Linked DNA regions of Canis lupus familiaris. The protein of the gene in region 1 interacts with the protein of each later gene in a pairwise test. Links are inferred from orthologs where the notes say so. Each region holds a gene or a part of one and is shown in the gene's direction. Other genes may lie near its edges.

Region 1 (3,519 bases):
GACCCAAAGAAGGGAACAGCCCTTGGAGACCTCTCCAGTGCTGGTTTGTTTCCTACTTTGTTTGATGCTTTACCTCTGGGTGGGGAAGAGGCACTTTGAGCTTCCTTTGGGGTCCTGGAAGGTGAGTAGAGCTGGACTCCCAAACACACAAGAGATGCTCTTCAGGCCTCCTGCTCATTTCTCTGTCGTTGATTTTCAGAGCCTGCAGCTGGTCTCCCGAGGTCCCAGGAGCCCACAGGGCCTTCTCTGCCCGCCCAGGTAGGCAGGGTGGACAGACAGGAATGGGCCTCAGGCCCATGGAGCAAATCTCCCGTGCTCAGAGGCAACAGCTGTAGTTTGAGCCAATAGCCTACGGGGAGTCATGTGTCAGGATAGACAGCACCTCCCCCAGCACTTCCCTCAACTTCTAGCCTTGCCATTCTCGGGCAGAGTCATAGTAATTTATCAACTCTGGGAGGGAATTAGAGGTGGCATCCACAGGGGAGGTTGGGGAGCATGGAGCAAGGAATGGTCAGAAAGTAGGGCTGCAGATGTCCCGTCGTCTGTCTAGAAAGCTGCCTCCATACTTGCTGTCTGCTGTTTGCCAGCTGTGGATGGCAGCCAGTCACGCCTGAGCCCAGCAGTGAGGAGGCCACAGAGACATATCCCCAGGAACCCAGAAGCACCTTTGGAGGTGGTAGGGGGTGGGCAACCTGCAGGAAGAAGAGTAGCACCCAACATTTGGTCTGGAGGCCTGGCAGGAGGACACTACTGTCACAGCTGAGATGCTGCTGGGGCCCTGCGGCTGGTCCAGGGATCTGGAACACCTGCTGGGAAGATGTTCTGAGGGGGGAGCGGAGACTCATTCTAACCAGACTCAGTGGGGAGGTACAACAGTTGCATGACTCCAAGGCCTCGTCCTTGGCCTCTTGGTGTCACATCTCTGTCCCCATCTGCAGCCACAGGTCAAGTGCAGGGCCTGGGAGGTCCAGTGAGCTAAGGGCCAAAGGTAGCTGAGCTTCGCTGAGTCCCTGTCCCCTGGAACATCTCCCACCCTCTCCTGCAGCCTCTGCTCCCGGAGGCCCTGGTGCAGAGCCTGTTGCCAGGCACAGAATACCAGAGACAGCTCCTGGCCGCACAGGTGCAGCTTCAGAGTGGCACTACTGAGCTCCAGGCTGACCTTCTGCAGAGTCAGGCCCAGCTGGCAGAGCTGGAGGCCCAGGTGAAGGGGCAGAGGAGCCCCGGGCTGGGGGGCAAAGCTGAGACGGGAAGGTCTCCCTCTGAGGGCCCGAAGGCTTCCCCAGGGAGCCCCCCTTGCCACCCTCCCACCGTCTCCAGGTGCGGAAGCTGGAGCTAGAGCGGGCACAGCACCAGCTGCTGCTGGAGAGTTTGCAGCAGCGGCACCAGGCTGACCTAGAGCTCATCGAGAGTGCTCACAGGTACCCCCCCAACTCCTCCCATCTGGGTTTCCCAAGCCTCAGGGCCTGCCCTAGCCAACGTGCTCCGAGAGGCTCTTTAGGTATCTCACCTCACCCTCTGAGCCCTACGACTGTGTTTTGTTGGCAGAAGCCGAATAAAGGTGCTAGAAACATCGTACCAGCAACGGGAAGAGCGGCTACGGAGGGAGCATGAGGAGCTGTCGGCCCGGTATCTGTCTCACTGCCAAGAAGCTGAGCAAGCCCACGCCGAGCTCACAGCCCAGCACCAGCGTCGCTTGGCGGCTGCCATGCAAGAGAAGGACCAGGAGATGGAGCGGCTTCGGGAGCTGCAGCGGTGAGGGCGAGGCCCAGGGCAGGCAGGCAGGGGGAGCTGGTTTGGAGGATGGCCAGAGGAAGTCCGTTTCCTGGAGACCCCCCAAGCCGTGGCTCAGCAACTGAAGCGTGACCCCTTCCCTTCCATGTGAGGACCAAGGCCAAGCACACTAACCCACCCACCCCCCTTTGAGTGGAGGGCCCATACTCCTCCAACAGCAGGGCAGAGGTCCCTGGCTGTTTAGGTTAATCCCGGCATCTCAAGGACCTAACTCAACACAGGTCAAGTCCTTCACCCACTGACGCACTCCAGTCTAGTGACTAGATCGACCTTGGAAAGGGTTTGCACTTTTGCGCTTGGTGTGTCCATCTGGTTGCCTTTCTAGATGAGAATGGAACTAAGAACAGGTACATAAGGGAGCCAGTCGATGTGTGCAGAGCAGATTTTTTTAACACTTCCCGGACTGGCCAGACAGAAGAGGCTGTCCACACACCCGTCTTTCCTACTGTGTAAAGCATCCTTTGCTAAATAACAGAAGGAGTCTCCCCGTTAGAGTGGATGTGACATTGAGGCCCCAAGACACATAGGATGAGGAGCCAAAGAAGCAGAGGCAGTGCCTGGAGGAGAGGAGGAGGAGGAGGAGAGACGCCAGGAGCGCTGATGGCTGAGCCCTCTGCCGCGGCTCTGCGCACATGCTCACTGCGCCACCCCCCACTGCTCTCAGGGCCTCCATCCTGGAGATGCGCAAGGACCACGAGGAGCAGCTGCAGCGGATGAAGCTGCTGAAGGACCGCGAGATCGACGCGGTCACCAGCGCCACCTCCCACACGCGGTATGTGCAGCATCCAGGCCCTGCCCACCCGAGGGGCAGACCCATGGCCCGGGGCCAGGCTGACCCAGTACCCGCACCCACCCAGATCCCTGAACGGCATCATCGAGCAGATGGAGAAGTTCTCCAGCAGCCTGCACGAGCTGTCCTCCCGCGTGGAGGCCTCGCACCTCACCACCACCCAGGAACGGGAGCTCGGGCTCCGGCAACATGACCAGCAGCTCCGAGGTACCGGGTGGGCCCCAGGTCCTGCCCCTGCACCCCCATCGCACTAGAACAGTGGGTGGGTGCTGAGTGCCCCATGGCCCCCCCAGCGCTGCAGGAGAGGCTGGGCCAGCAGCAGCGGGACATGGAGGAGGAGCGGAGCCGGCTCCAGGAGGTCATCGGGAAGATGGAGGCGCGCCTGAACGAGCAAAGCCGGCTACTGGAGCAGGTGGGCCATCCTCCTGCCGGCAGGGCCTGTCTCCCCAGCACCCCAGGGGTGCCGCCAGGGCTCTCCTTCCCACGCGTTCTCCCCACCTTGCCCGGGTCCGTCACATTCATCCATCCACCGAAGCCGATGTCTGCTGAGCTCTAAGAGCTGCACGTTTGAAGTCCTGCATATCTTTTGTATAGAAGAGCAAGCTCCATTCTCTAAAAAAGTCATTCCTTTTCTTTCCTTTGTACTAGATTATAACGTGATACATTATATTGAAAAAATTAAAATATGATTAGCAACAAAGGAGCAAATTAAAATTACCCACTAGCCAGAGATAGCCACTGGGGACCTCCCATCCCTCCCATAGACATACTGACCTGGTGTGTTTGTTTCGTGAACCATACGTATTCAGTTATTTGGTAACTATTAAGGCCCCTGTCTCGGGCCATGCTTGTGTGTCCCCTAGTCCCCTGGCATACACCGTGTCACACCTGCCCTGGCACACTTGCCTGCTTGGTGGATGGGAGACAGGCAGGCAGAG
Region 2 (3,519 bases), on another chromosome or scaffold:
AATGGATACAGAGTTTCAGTTTGGGAAGATAAAAAAGCTCTGGAGATGGATGGTGGTGATGGATGCACAACAGTGTTAAAATGCACTTAATGCCACAGACAGAACTGTACATATAAAGATGGCTAAAATGGTAACTTTTATGTTACATGTATCTTACCACAATATAAAAAAAATTTTGGTTGAATGAATACACTCTCCTACAACCTTTTTCTACTTGAACTGCTATGAAACCTTTATAAAGTATAGTAGGTTATTGTTTGGCATTCATTTCAATTAAGATAATACCCAGTGAAATGAAATACCAAATACAAATGAAAATATAGGCACTATGTTTATATGTCCAGGTATGGTCCTTTTATAGATTATAGTATGTTACATTAATTTTATTTTTTAAATGAAAATAAATTTTAAAAACTTATAGAGAATTTGTTAATCTTAAGAATATGTCTGAGAGGGATCCCTGGGTGGCTCAGCGGTTTGGCGCCTGCTTTTGGCCCAGGGCGCGATCCTGGAGACCCGGGATCGAATCCCACGTCGGGCTCCCGGTGCATGGAGCCTGCTTCTCCCTCTGCCTGTGTCTCTGCCTCTCTCTCTCTCTCTCTCTCTCTGTGACTATCATAAATAAATAAAAATTAAAAAAAAAAAAAAGAATATGTCTGCGAAACCCCTGGAGTCTACAGATCTTGGTTTGAGCAGTATCACTAAAGAGACATTGTTAAAATCAAAATCTCCATATACCTGGGGTGCGTGGATGGCTCAGTTGGTTGAGTGCATATGCCTTTGGCTCTAGTCATGATCCCAGGGTCCTGAGATCAAGCTTTCTGCTTAGCAGGGAGTCTGCTTTTCCCTCTGCCCTCTTTCTGCTGCTCATTCAGTCTCTCTCTCTCTCTCTCAAAATCTTTTTTAAAAATATTTATTTATTCATGAGAGACACAGAAAGAGAGAGGCAGAGACACAGGCAGAGGGAGAAGCAGGCTCCATGCAGGGGGCCCGATGTGGGACTCGATCCTGGGACTCCAAGGTCACCCCCTGGGCAGAAGACAGATGCTCAACCGCTGAGCCACCCAGGCATCCCGTCAAATAAAATCTTATAACAAACAAATCCCCATATCCTTATAGGCCATCCCTGGAAGATTGCATAAGAAACAAATAATAGTAGCTACCTGTGGGGAGGTCGACTTATTTTTAATCTACAACATTTGGTAGTATTTGAATTCTTTACCATGTGCTACCACCTATTTCAGTAAACAATTAATTAGATCAAGGATGGAGAACAACACCTTTGTAGCAGTTTGGAATTTACCAAGCTTAAATGGGCATCTGGAGAAGGAAAGTGATTCATAGTATGAAGCATTTGAAGCACATCAAAGATATGCAGGCATCAGTGTTTTTAGCCTGTTCCTCTTCCTACAGGTGTCACAGGACTTCCCATTTCTCCATCCAAGTGAAACCAGTGTCTTGAACCGACTCTGCCGGCTGGGCACAGACTATATTCGCTTCACTGAGTTCATTGAACAGTACACGGGCCATGTGCAGCAACAGGTAGGCTGCTGTTCCCAGGGAATGGACACCTCCAGAGGTCAGGAGCCATGTCAAGTTTTGAGTGAATCCACTGGTAATTGATATGAAATAAGTCTCAAGGTGTTATGAATTTCTCATCATTGGAATTACTCAAGTGAGGGCCAGATAACTGTCTAGCTCAAACAAAGAAGATATACACAGGGACCAATTTAGGCAAGTTTGTATAAGAGAAAATATGCTTTGCCTGAGTTTTAGGAGACCTGAGTTAAATCAGTTTGAGCTGGACCAGAGTTCCAATTCCAGTAAAAGCACAGTGCATCATTTCAGATCTTTTTTGCCCATTTTGCTTCTAACTTCCTTAGTCACATGGACACAATCAACTAAAGTCTTTGGGCTTCATTTTTCTTATTTGAAAATGAAAGAGTTGCTGAGTGAAGTAAGTCAGTTGGAGAAGGACAAACATTATATGTTCTCATTCATTTGGGGAATATAAATAATAGTGAAAGGGAATATAAGGGAAGGGAGAAGAAATGTGTGGGAAATATCAGAAAGGGAGACAGAATGTAAAGACTGCTAACTCGGAAACGAACTAGGGGTGGTAGAAGGGGAGGAGGGCGGGGGGGTGGGAGTGAATGGGTGACGGGCACTGGGGGTTATTCTGTATGTTGGTAAATTGAACACCAATAAAAAATAAATTAAAAAAAAGAAAAAGAAAATGAAAGAGTTAAATCAGAGAAAGTGCTTGGCACATAGTAAGCACTTAATAAATATTATCATTAATATGAATTAATTGGAAGTGTACACTATTAATTGTGATTAATGGTGTAGAGGTCAAGGTTTTGTGTCCTGCTCTATCACTTACTAGCCATAGACTGCTTGGCAGTAACCTAATGCTTAGTAACTACGGCTCAGTTCACTTATCCATAAAATAGGATAATAGGTGGAACCTATCTCATAGGGTTGTAAAGATTAAACAAGGTAATTCATGCAAAGTGCCTGGCACATAGTAAGCACTCATTTCTTTAAAGAGAAATTTTAAAGTTCCCTTTTATTTTTAACAGTCTGTAATTCTGTCCATGGTAAGTAAAAAGATTACTGAATTGTGTAACTCTGATTCAGTATGACTGTTGCCCAGTTGATTCTGGTTGAGGAGAAAGGCAGGGACTTCTAGAAAGAGAAAGGAAGGATTCCTGAAATAATGCAGTCAGTACTTTCTGTTTTATAAGTTGGTTGTCAGACTTTTGGTGGATGGACATCTATGGGGCAGAGTTTTTGGAGAATAATACCTTATATTTTCATCTCTGGGACAGGGATTCAGATTCTCTCAAAAAGATTTTATTGCAAATATATAAGCTAAATGTGAGCTTAAAATCTAATCAATGCCATTTTGCTATAAAATCATATTAATGAGGGCACATGAATTATCAGAGTTACAACCCATATATATATTTATGTAGATGAGAAGGCCTTTAGTTTTAATTTTTACAAGTAACACTTAAAAGAAAAAAACCTGTCCTGTATTCCTGTGACTATATGGATTTTATCTTATATAATATGTGAATTCCTGCTTTCCCAAATTCTAAAGATATCTATAGTGCCTCTTTTTTTGGAACAGTAAAAAGCATACTTAATTTCTCTTTCATTTAGTGATAAATGAAGACATTCAGTTCTCTGGAATGACACAGGATCAAAACAAAATTGGCTGGTTGTACGCCCATCTGGTCTGTTTCACCCTATAACCATGCCAGTCTTATTATAGCTGTGAACCTTTATCTTCAGGAACTGCTAGTATCTTTTGCAACATCATCTGACTACACTGTGCCTCATAACCCCAGAGTCCAAGTTTCCTACCCCATTTGTTGTAGAATTCTGTGATTGTATCTACTGCCAACAGAGCCTGATCACCCAAGTCAGTACCTAGCTAGAGAGGCTGGTCATCATAGCCTATAGTCAGCTTCCTCTGCCATTCCCTGTGTAAAATACAGAAGAGGCCCTTAG
Region 3 (4,074 bases), on another chromosome or scaffold:
TCTGCCTTCAGCTCAGGTGGTGGTCCCAGGATGCTGGGATCAAGTTTCACATCAGGCTCTCCGCGGGGAGCCTACTTCTCCCTCCGCCTTGTTTCTGCCTCTGTGTCTCTCATGAATAAATAAATAAAATCTTTTTTTAAAAAAATGGCTGGAGCAGAGGCTAAGAGTGTAGATTTCAATGTGCCTGGGTGCCCCCAAGTCAGAGAATTGCAACTTATTTCCTTACCAGTTTTGGGGACGCAGAAGCAGGAAGACTCAGCCTCCTCTGTCTGTCAGCGGAATGAGGAAGATTCAGGCTACTCCAGGCTCTGCGCAGTTTAAACCAAGTGTAGGGGCACCTGGGAGGTTCAGTGGTTGAGCGGCTGCCTTCAGCTCAGGTCCTGATCCCGAGGGATCCTGGGATTGAGTCCTGCTTCGGGCTCCCGGCAGGGAGCCTGCTTCTCCCTCTGCCTATGTCTCTGCCTCTCTCTGTGTCTCTCATGAATAAATAAAATCTTTAAAAAATAATAAATAAAAAATAAGCCAAGTGCAGAAACAAGGAAAGGGTTACAGCATAACCAAAGGCCCTGGGATGTGAGAATTGTGAACCTTCACCTGTTCACAGAGGGGTCATCATGGCTAAAGCATGGAGTATACATGGGTGCAGACAGCAGGCATTATTTTTAAGGGCCTCGAATGCCGGGTAGAAGAGCTTGAAATGTTTCCCAAGGGCAATGGGGAGTCATGGAGGGTGTGTGAGCAGAAGAGGTGAACAATGAGGTCTCTGTCTCTGGGGCCTGGGAGGGGAAGGGAGTCAAGGGGTGGGTGGCTGTAGAGTCCACGGAGAGAGAGGGGCTGGCATCCCGGTAGAGGGGAGAGGGTTGGGCTGTTATGGAGGGAGATGACGAGGCCCTTTAGAGATGGATGCAGGAAAAATGGGCAGGATGTAGGGGCGATCTGTGCCCTGAGGAATCCAGGAGAAGCAGCAGCTGGCAGAGGAAGCAGAGATGGGAGGGCCGGAGAGGCAGCGAACAAGAGTGGTGTGTTACAATTCAGTTCTTGGATGGTGCTCAGTCATGTGCAAGTTGCTTGTTAAAATTCCCATGACACTGTAGACAGATCCTATAATTAAAGCCCCCCCCCCCCATTTTACAGATAAGGAAACTGAGGCTCAGAGGCGGAAGAGACATGAGATTGGAGGCTGGGGCAAGGAAGGACCGACAGGTCAGGAGCTGGACATGTGTGTCCCACCGGGACTGGAGGAAGCTGATGTCCTTGAGGAGGAAATAGCACAATAACAAGTCACATGACCAGGGGAGGGGGCTTCCTGTTTCCCGGCCTCTCCCAAGCCAGCCTTGGCCAGCCCGGGGCCTAAGCAAGCAGTGGCCAGAGCTACCCCAAGAGTGTCCAGGGATTTGGGCTGCTGACCAAGGTATTCCTAGAGGTACAGAGGAGTAGCATTAGAGCAGGCTGAGGGGACCCAACCCCAAGATTGGGGCCTCCGACTCAAGAGGACCCTGGGGAGGAGAGGTGATTCTTGAAGTCCTCGAGCCAGGTCCAGATTGGGGACCGAGGGGAGCACAGAGGTAGTGAAAGATAAAGGAGGCAAAAGACAAGGGGAGGTGGGAACAAACTTGTGAGGTAGTGAGCTGCCTGTCAGGAGGGGTATTCAAATGTGCCAGCTCAACACTGGTAATTCAAGATCCCTCCCAGCGGGAGGAGATCGATGCTCATTTCATAGAAGAAGGTATTAAGGCTGTCATTCGCCCAGACCAACAAAGACAAGAGCCGAGATCAGGCTGCGGCTTTCGGAAAAAGAATCAGAGGACTGAATTCTGGACAGCAATGAGTGCCCGGGCCACGCGACCCCGAAGCCGGCGAGGGAGGCACGCGCCACCTGTAAGTGCCCCCTTCCCTGCCGCATCCAGCTCTTTGGGGTCACTCACCCCCTCGCCCCCGGCCTGGCTCGGAGCTTGGCCCTGTGGGTCATTTTCAGGGGGAGCTGGATCCCGTGGCGGAGAGTTCAGAGGAGGCTGAGGCAGCCAGCGGGAGCTCTGAGCTGGGCCCTGTGCCATCTCAGGAGAGCTGCGAGCCGAGGCTGCAGGGGCCAGAGGCAGAGGCCAGTGGGCAGGGCCTTGGGAACAGGTAAGGTCCCCTCCGTCTGGGCTCCCACTCCGGCCCTGGTGTGTCTTTCCTCCCCACAGATCTACCTGTGTTCCTCCCTTGCTCACACACACGCCGTAGCTTCCCACTGCCCTCCTTGCCCAACTTTCAAGGCCCCGGATAATGCACCCTCTGTGAGCCAGCCACCCCAGATGACCCCATTTCCAGAACCTTCTGTCTCTCACTTCACCACAGGACCAACAAAGAGGCTGAGGGGGACTCTAGCAGAGGACTGGCCCCATCTCCCGAGGGACCCCGCAAGCCTGCAGAGGAAGGCCACCAGGCCAGAGATGTAGCTCCACAGGATGGGGAGACTGTCCCCCCCAGGCCTGAAGCCTCTGACGTGTTTCAGGTTCTCCAGCATGCTCTGAGCTCCCTGGAGGCGGCGGCGGCTGCCTGGCGCCGCCGGCCCCCCAGCTGTCCTGGGCCCGGGGAGGCAGAGGACAGAAGTGAGGTGGGACCAAGGCCCTGCTTGGAGCAGGAGGGGGCAAGTGGTTGCCAGAGGGAGGCAGCCAGCCTGGCAGAGAGGAATGACTGGCTACGATTGGCCTTGGGCAGCCGAGAGGAGGAGCTGATTCGCACGCAGGCCTCCCTGCAGGCCATCCAGGGGGAGAAGGAGATGCTGCAGAGAGAGGTGAGGGTCTCGACGTATTGTGCTCTACCTCTGAGGGTTCTCTGTCTAAGGGGGAGGCGGGCCTGGCATAGGCAACCTTCCATTGTTTGTTCATTAGAAAAACTCTTACGGAGGGACGCCTGGGTGGCTCAGTGGTTGACTTGAGTTGAGCCTTTGACTCAGGTCATGATCCCAGGGTCCTGAGATCGAGTCCCACATCAGGTTCCCCACAGGGAGCCTGCCTCTCTCTCTGTGTCTCCTCTGAATAAATAAATAAAATCTAAAAAAAGAAAGAGAAAAACTTTTATGGAGCGTTGACTGCTGCAGAGCCCTGAACAAAGGTGCCTTGCCTTCTTAGATAAGGTGGTCAGAGATGCCCCTTGAGGAGGTGACACTTGAGCCAGGAGGTAAGGGAGGAGCCATGCAAGGATCTGGGGAAAGAGCATGCCAGGCGGAGAAGGAGCTCCCTTCCAGAGGTGGGAGTGTGAGTCAGGGAACAGTGAGCAAGCCAGTGTGGGGGTGAGGGGAGGGCAGGTTAGTGATGGGGGCAGATTTACACGGTCTGTGGGCTTCTGGGAGTTGGGCTTTGGCCCTGAGCCTGGTGGGCTCCTGGGGGGTTCCCCCTCGCCCCCCCACCCTCGCCCTCCCGCGGCAGAAAGGGGCGGGACCTGGTGCCGCGGTCACAGGCGCCCTCTGGTAGGCATGGGAGGAACAGCCGGCGGATCCGCGAGGCACTGGTCCAGACACCAGATGGTGGAAACTGTGGAGGTGGCACAAAGTGGGCAGATTCTGGGTGGTGTCGAAGGTGGAGCTGGCAGGTTTGGGTGTGAAAGCCAGAGAAGGGTTGAGGACAAGTCCTGGTTTGGGGGCCTGCGGGACTGGGAGCCAGAAATGCAGGACCAGGAGCTGTTGGGACCCTAATGAGTTCAAGAAACCCCTGAGCCACCCATGTAGGACCATCAAAGACACAGTTGTGGGGTCAGAATCCAGAGCTCAGGGGAGATGTCAGGACAAGAGAAACACATCCCGACCTCTTTAACATGTGGATGGAATCTAAAGCCATGTGGCTGAAGGAGATGGGGGAACAGGCCCTCATCTTGGGCAGGCCAAGGTGGCAAGATATGGGGCCACCAGAGCCCAGCCTAAGGGGTGGGGCCCACTTCCTGGCTGGGAAAGATGATCCCCGCTCCACATTCCTCTCCTCACCCCCACCCACATTCCTCTCCTCACCCCCACTGCCTCTGGCACCCACCACTCTGTTCTCTATAACTGTGAGTTCAATTTTTCGTTTTGTTTTATCTTAGATCCCAAATATAAGT
Region 4 (3,519 bases), on another chromosome or scaffold:
GGCATTTTGCAGCTGCCCCTCACTTGGGAGCTGTCTGATGACTTTCTTCTGGTTTGGCAGGGGTTGTGGGTTTTTCAGGGAGACCACAGAGAAGAGATATCATCACATCCCGTCAAGGGCGTGGACTGTGACCCCGCCAGATCGCCATGAGTGTTAACCTTGACCACCTGGCTGAGGTGCTCCCCGGTTGCTCTGCAAAAGGAGCTCCTTTCCTGCTGTGCACACAGCCCACCCTGGAGGCATGGAAAGTTCTTCCCCACCTCCTTGGGGACAGAGCATGTACATAAATCCTGCCTCTCTTCCCCCACCTATTAGTTACTGGACCATTTGTTTCTAGCAGTATGGACTCATGGGTTGTTTTTTTTTTTTCCACTTTGGTTATAATATATTTATTTCTTTATTTTGTTCCTCAAATTGTTTCTGCTTTGGCCATAAAGAGTTCTGTTGGCTCCTCTGTCCCTTTGACATGCTTCCACCATTGTGAGTTTTTGGTTTGGGTGTTTGCGAACACTTCCTTACTTTCTAGCATTACGAGGTGCTCCAGGCCCATCCCATGTATTTCCTGCCTCCATCCTAGGATCAGCCATTTCTCCAAGGAGCCCCTGTTGCTCTTATTGGAGCATGGTTTTAGAAACCAAGATCCGAGTGCCAGCTGTCAGGCACTAAAATCCTCTGCTCTGGTGAATTTATTCTATTTTGAAGAGGTTTGGAAACAAGTTCTCATTCTATGTTCAAACCGAAAAGTTAATGTTATAAGGCTTTTTAATATCATTTTTCCTGTTCTCCAGCTTGTGGAGAGAGTGATTTCCCAGACTTGGCTTTGAATGTCTTTAATGAGTTTGACCTTGGCAGGAGGCTTTCACACACCCCTTTCCCTAATCTGGATGAACATTTTGCAGTTTGGTCGGTGGGAGGAGGTGTACTGAGGTTGAGCTGGGAGTGTGGGCAGGTTCATGTCCTGCAGGTTCGGGGCTGCTCACTGCATAACCTTTGTCTCTGTTGATGACCTGGGTCAGGCCTCCAGGATTTTTCTTACTCTCCTGATCATTTATAAGCTCTGCTTTGAATTAGGTGGCAAGAGGGAGCTGCTGCAGGATGCAAAGAACATAGGATGGTGCATCAAGAGACCTGGGGTCAGGAAACATGGTGGGGGTGCTGGCTTTGACCTTCCCTAGCTCAGCAGCCCTCAGGATCGTCCCAATTCTATTACAGAAATGCTGAGTCCTACTTCCTGGGATTGGGCCAAGCGATATAGCAAACCTAAAAAGATTGGGAAGAAGAGTGTAGTCCTTTAAAAATCAAGGTTAGTGGGACACCTGGGTGGCTCAGCAGTCTGCCTTTGGCTCAGAGCATGATGGAGTCCCCGGGATCGAGTCCCACATCAGGCTCCCTGCATGGAGCCTGCTTCTCTCTCTGCCTATATCTCTGCCTCTCTCTCTCTCTGTCTCTCATGAATAAATAAATAAAATCTTTTTTAAAAAAAAGTCAATGTTAGCTAAACTTATATCACTTCAGTATAATGGGAGAGTGGCTAAAGAACCAAGTGTAAGGAATTCAGATTTTGACAATTTATAGGTCTCTGTACTTACCCGTGTACCTAGGACTAAGTATACATAGGAGTTAGAATGTGGTCTTAGTAGGTCTGTGCTGCTTGAAACTGAAATCTTAGTCACTTCACCCCTTTTTTTAACAAACCCATCTATAGCTCCAACTAGGTACTTCAGAAATACTTGGTCTTCTTCACCACCACGTGAAAGGACACACTTTGTCAGAGCCTCTGCTGGCTCATCCGTGCAGTGGAGATGGTGCCCGGGTCCCCTGCAGTGGCCGGGCAGATGATGTGGTCAGTGGCTTCCCGTAGAGCACACCCACCGGAGCACCGTGGCCGTCAGCTCTCACCACTTCCCGTGTCAAGTATGTCAGGCTGCCTTTCATTACCACCGTTCTACAAATGAGGAAACTGAGCCTTCAAGGTTTCAGTAATCTCAGAGGCAGCTAATAAAAGTCAGAAATGAACTCATATAATATACCCTTTCTCTTCTCATTGCATAAAAGTGGAGCCTGCCTTGCGATTCCTCCGGGTTTTCGGTGCTAAAAAGTTAGTGCCTTCAGAAATCTTAGCGAAGTGGGAGTCGGCAAGCTTTTTCTTTCCAGTGCTGGAAATCCAGGGTTTATTTCTGAAGTAATCCAGATTAATGAAATTGTAGCAACTCTCTGCCTCCATCTCCCCAGAAATGTGCGGCGCACAGTTAACAGTGTTGAGTTATTGGACTTTGGGTCCCAACAGACTTCTACATCTTAGCTCCGAAATCTTAGAGTTATTGAATCTGAGACGGGAATGGATTTCAGATGAGGTTCTCATGTTCCCAATTAATCTCTTTCCAGGCCAAAATCCAGATGAAAATGGAAAAGCTGTCTTCGACCACCAAGGGGGTTTGTGAGCTAGAGGACTACCATTACAGGGACGGGAGGCATCGCCCTCCCCTGTTTCACACGTGGCCCACAGCCTATTTCTGTAAGTAGTTCTCTCCTCGTTGATTCTCAGGAGTAGAAATCATGAGGGCATTTGTGTTCTTTAGATCTTGATGAAGCTGACAGGCTTTGAAATTCAATTTGAGGGATGCCTGGGTGGCTCAGCAGTTGAGCGTCTGCCTTTGGCTCAGGGCGTGATCCCGCAGTCCTGGGATCGAGTCCCACGTCGGGCTCCCTTCATGGAGCCTGCTTCTCCCTCTGCCTGTGTCTCTGCCTCTCTCTCTGTGTCTCTCATGAATAAACAAACAAAATCTTAAAAAAAAAAAGAAAAGAAAAAAGAAATTCAATTTGAGAGGACCCACTGGAAGGGAAGGAGATTGAGGGGCATCCTAGAATAGGCATTTCTTCTTGGCTCTAATAATTACCAAAGAATATTAAACATAATTACAGACATGGGAAGCAAGGTGCCTTTATTGCCCCTTTAAAACCAAGTGGTCGGGGTTGGGGACACGAGGTGCAGCCCCTCAGTGGCTGAGTCTGTAAAGTGCCTACCTTCAGCTCAGGTCGTGATCTTGGGGTCCTGGGATGGAGCCCCGTGTTGGGCTCCCCACTGAGCAGGGAGCCTGCTTCTCCGCTACCCCTCCCTCAGCTTATGCACTTTCTTTCTCTGTGTCAAATAAATAAATAAATAAACAAACAAACAAACAAATAAATAAAGATTAATCTTAAAAAACACACACACAAACAAACACCAGGTGGTTGGGGCACCTGGGCTGGACCCAGTCCATAGAGCCAGTGACTCTTGATCTTGGGGTCATGAGTTCAAGCCCCACAGTGGCCACAGAGATTACCTAATAAAAAAATAATAATAATAACCTTTAAAGAAAAAAAAAGAAAAAAAACAAGGGTACAATGAATTCCACATCCTCTACAGAGGCAGAATTCTTTTTTCTTTTATAGAAAGATGGGTTTTGGGGTGCCTGGGTTCCCCAAAACCCATCTTGGGTTCAATTGCTGAAGCATCCAACTTTTTTTTTTTTTTAAGAT
Region 5 (3,519 bases), on another chromosome or scaffold:
CTCCCATGGGAGCCCTTCTTGGCTGACAGGTATCCCTGTTTCTGTTCTACTGCAGAAGGTACTGCAGCACTGCTTTACTTTGTACATTCTCTTGTACTGTAAACATGTATCTTCTTGCGAGATACAGTGGTGTCTCAGGCATGCATCCAGCCTTCAGGGATCTGATCATCCAGTGGGGGAGATAAAGCATGTACATTGGTCCCTGTGACCTGGAAGCAGAGACTAAGTGGGGTGCTCTAAAGGGCAACAGATCAAGAGCTTTGGGTTCCAGAAGAAGAAAAGATGTACCTTTCTAGGCCGGGTTCTGGGGAGGCTTCCTGGAGGAGATGGCATTAATAGAGCTTTAGAAATGTGAAGATGGGACCAGGGAGCTGAGTGGAGGTGGGACAAGGAAGGGTGTTTGGAGGGGCAGGATTACTCCCTCTTTGCTTTCCTGACTCAGTGTGCTCCTCGGGCCATCCTTTGGGACCCCTGGGCTGTGCTCACCCTGCCTCCGTCTCTCTGTCTCCAGGGCATCATTAACTTGGGCACCAGTGAGAATAAACTCTGCTTTGACCTGTTATCCAGACGGGTAAGTCCTAGTGGCATCAGCAGCTCCCAGGGACTGTCTTTTCTTGGATTTCCCTGGAACACTTCCCTGATAAGAGCCTGCTGCTTGCCTCAGCAGCCCTGGCCTGAGCCAGGAGACCCAGGTTCCAGGTCCGTCTCAGGGACAACCTCTGTGATCTTGGGTGAGTCACTTCCCTATTTGGATCCTGCTTCTTTTTTTTTTTTATTTTTTTTATTTATGATAGTCACCCAGAGAGAGAGAGAGAGAGGCAGAGACACAGGCAGAGGGAGAAGCAGGCTCCATGCAGCGAGCCTGACGTGGGATTCGACCCCGGGTCTCCAGGATCGTGCCCTGGGCCAAAGGCAGGCGCCAAACCGCTGCGCCACCCAGGGATCCCTGGATCCTGCTTCTTCACCTCTTCCCCACACTCAGTCCCTCCCGCTGCTGGCTGGGTCCTGCTCTCATGGGGTGGGGGTGGGATAGGGAGCATTCAGTGGGGTGTGATCAGTATTTAACAACTGGCTCTGGGGTAGGGAGGACTCTGATTTGTCGCTTTTGCCAATTCCCATAGTGTAAATACCTCCACTGTGGCTGATTTCAAGCCACGGGTATGACCTCTCTGCACACAAAGTTGGGAAAAAAGGGGTTGTGGCACCCATTATGTAGTATCCCCACCATCTAGACACAAAGATGGAAATAACCTCAAGAGCACATGTAGGAATGTAGTGACATAATCAGAAGTAGTGATGTTTTAGTTATTACCTTCGTTTATTACTGGTGTTTTTTAATGCAGTGTACTTATTTGTACATTTATACAGTTTAATTAAAAAAATTTTTTTAGCATAGCCTGTAAAATTCCTGGAAACTTACTAAGTAGATTTCTTGAGCTGGTGTGAGCCATCTCTAGCAAACCACTAAATATGCCTGATAAATGTGTTTTCCAAGGCCACGGACTCAGAGTCTGGGCTTGTGGTGGGAGTGACGGCTGACCCAAAGGAACTTATTTCCAAGGGAGACAAATCTAAGACCTAAGGGGAGAGGCATATAGGGAGGGGGCTCAAAAGGCATGGTCTACCTACCAGTTCCCTGCTGCACTGACCCACAGAAGTAAAATGTGAGCCACATATATAATTTAAAATATCCTGTTAGATAAGTAAAAAGAAACTGGTAAATTCATCTGAGGAATATATTTTATTTAGCCTAATATATCCAAAATAGGACCATTTCAACATGTAATCAATGTAAAAAATTGGCATATTTTACGTAGTTTTCATATCAAGTCTTTAAAATCCAGTGAGTTGGCTCAGTTCAGGCAAGCCACACTCCAAGTGCTCAGCAGACACGCATGGCTAGCGGCCTTCGACTAGACAGGGCAGCTCTATGGGCAGAAGGGGAGGGGGAGAAGGCTGGAGTTGTGTCCAAGTGGCTGATTGCCTTTCTTCCTTTGGTTCCCTTCTCAAGACTTCTGGCTTTCCTTGGCACTGTGTGTGCGATGCTCTGGGAGTTACCCAGCATCAGGTCAGGGTGGGGATGGTGTCGAAACAGCTGTATTTTTTAAAGATTTTATTTATTTATTCATGAGAGAGAGAGAGAGAGAGAGAGGCAGAGACACAGGCAGAGGAGAAGGAGTTCTCCATTCTGGGGACCCGATGTGGGACTTGATCCTGGGTTTCCAAGATCACGCCTTGGGCTGAAGGCAGTGCTAAACTGCTGAGCCACCCAGGCTGCTGCAACAGTTGCATTAAAAAAAAAAATTAAAAATATTTTATTTATTTATTCATGAGAGAGAGAGAGAGAGAGAGAAAGAGAGGCAGAGACACAGGCAGAGGGAGAAGGAGTTCTCCATGCTGGGGACCCGATGTGGGACTTGATCCTGGGTTTCCAAGATCACGCCTTGGGCTGAAGGCGGTGCTAAACTGCTGAGCCACCCAGGCTGCTGAAACAGTTGCATTAAAAAAAAATTAAAAATATTTTATTTATTTATTCATGAGAGAGAGAGAAAGAGAGGCAGAGACACAGGCAGAGGGAGAAGGAGTCCTCCATGCTGGGGACCCGATGTGGGACTTGATCCTGGGTCTCCAAGATCACACCCTGAGCTGAAGGCTGATGCTCAACCACTGAGCCACCCAGGCATCCCAAAATGGCCACATTTTCCAAAGCATAGGGTTGAACTGAGCCAGGAACACAATGGCCTGAATCCCTCCAGAAGTTGGAGCCAACACTGAGGGGATGGCACCCAATGCTAGGACCCCTTGTGTCACCCCAACGAGAAGCCGAGTAGCATGGTCTATCACTGCCTCTACAAATCCACCCCTCTGGGTTTTTAATTTTTTAAATATATATGTTTGTATATTCATTCATTCATTCATTCATTCATGCAAGCACAAACATATGAGCAAGGGAAGGGACAGAGGGAGAGGGAGAGAGAGAATCCCAAGCAGACTCTCCCAAGCAGCCCCACAAGGAGCTCAGTCAGGTGCTCGATCTCATGACCCTGAGATCATGACCAGAGCAGAAATCGAGAGTCAGATACTCAGCCCCACTCTTCCCTCTGTCCCTAGCTGAGTCAGAGTGACATGCTGCGGGTGGAGCCATCATTGCTGCAGTACCCTGACTGGAGGGGACATCTGTTGTAAGTAGTTGCCATGGGCCAGTGGTTCTCAGCCCAGGGTGGTTTTGCTCCCCAGGGGACATAGGGCACCTGGGAACACTTATGGTTATCGTAACTGGGAAGGAGGTATTATTGGCATTTCCTGGGTAGAGGCCGGTGATGCTGCAAAACCTCCTACGATGCCCAGGAAAGCCCCCACAACAAATAATGACCCTGCCCCAGATGTGAATATGGCAGGTAGAGAAAGCCTGCTTGAGGCTGAGGGCCTGTCCTGGAGACCTGGCAGTCGTGGGGTCTCCTGGAGCATCTGCAGGGAGAGAGCGTGTGGTCGTCTCACCCAGCTCAGGAGCTCCCTAGC

Evidence for each region.
Region 2: the proteins of FBF1 (region 1) and TUBGCP4 interact in a two-hybrid assay, tested with the Homo sapiens proteins (2 studies listed by BioGRID and IntAct). The two-hybrid records come from large-scale screens. The link is inferred for Canis lupus familiaris from reciprocal best matches to the Homo sapiens genes FBF1 and TUBGCP4.
Region 3: the proteins of FBF1 (region 1) and USHBP1 interact in binary tests that used the Homo sapiens proteins (3 or more experiments, as listed by UniProt). The two-hybrid records come from large-scale screens. The link is inferred for Canis lupus familiaris from reciprocal best matches to the Homo sapiens genes FBF1 and USHBP1.
Region 4: the proteins of FBF1 (region 1) and CINP interact in binary tests that used the Homo sapiens proteins (3 or more experiments, as listed by UniProt). The two-hybrid records come from large-scale screens. The link is inferred for Canis lupus familiaris from reciprocal best matches to the Homo sapiens genes FBF1 and CINP.
Region 5: the proteins of FBF1 (region 1) and ACCS interact in a two-hybrid assay, tested with the Homo sapiens proteins (2 studies listed by BioGRID and IntAct). The two-hybrid records come from large-scale screens. The link is inferred for Canis lupus familiaris from reciprocal best matches to the Homo sapiens genes FBF1 and ACCS.

What each region holds. Positions count from the first base shown.
Region 1 is NC_049230.1:5,576,725-5,580,243, forward strand, and holds part of FBF1 (fas-binding factor 1), read left to right. Parts: coding exon 1-43; exon of another isoform or gene 44-199; coding exon 200-258; exon of another isoform or gene 259-1,045; coding exon 1,046-1,201; exon of another isoform or gene 1,202-1,317; coding exon 1,318-1,418; exon of another isoform or gene 1,419-1,545; coding exon 1,546-1,752; exon of another isoform or gene 1,753-2,455; coding exon 2,456-2,563; exon of another isoform or gene 2,564-2,648; coding exon 2,649-2,788; exon of another isoform or gene 2,789-2,874; coding exon 2,875-2,993; exon of another isoform or gene 2,994-3,519. UniProt on the Homo sapiens protein: Keratin-binding protein required for epithelial cell polarization. Involved in apical junction complex (AJC) assembly via its interaction with PARD3. Required for ciliogenesis.
Region 2 is NC_049251.1:10,523,689-10,527,207, forward strand, and holds part of TUBGCP4 (gamma-tubulin complex component 4), read left to right. Parts: intron 1-1,413; coding exon 1,414-1,542; intron 1,543-3,519. UniProt on the Homo sapiens protein: Component of the gamma-tubulin ring complex (gTuRC) which mediates microtubule nucleation.
Region 3 is NC_049241.1:45,884,278-45,888,351, forward strand, and holds the start of USHBP1 (Usher syndrome type-1C protein-binding protein 1), read left to right. Parts: upstream 1-1,274; 5' UTR 1,275-1,411; intron 1,412-1,692; exon of another isoform or gene 1,693-1,750; 5' UTR 1,751-1,824; coding exon 1,825-1,878; intron 1,879-1,975; coding exon 1,976-2,124; intron 2,125-2,337; coding exon 2,338-2,776; intron 2,777-4,074.
Region 4 is NC_049229.1:70,716,480-70,719,998, reverse strand, and holds part of CINP (cyclin-dependent kinase 2-interacting protein), read left to right. Parts: intron 1-2,385; coding exon 2,386-2,515; intron 2,516-3,519. UniProt on the Homo sapiens protein: Component of the DNA replication complex, which interacts with two kinases, CDK2 and CDC7, thereby providing a functional and physical link between CDK2 and CDC7 during firing of the origins of replication.
Region 5 is NC_049239.1:45,585,481-45,588,999, reverse strand, and holds part of ACCS (1-aminocyclopropane-1-carboxylate synthase-like protein 1), read left to right. Parts: intron 1-511; coding exon 512-571; intron 572-3,111; coding exon 3,112-3,182; intron 3,183-3,519. UniProt on the Homo sapiens protein: Does not catalyze the synthesis of 1-aminocyclopropane-1-carboxylate but is capable of catalyzing the deamination of L-vinylglycine.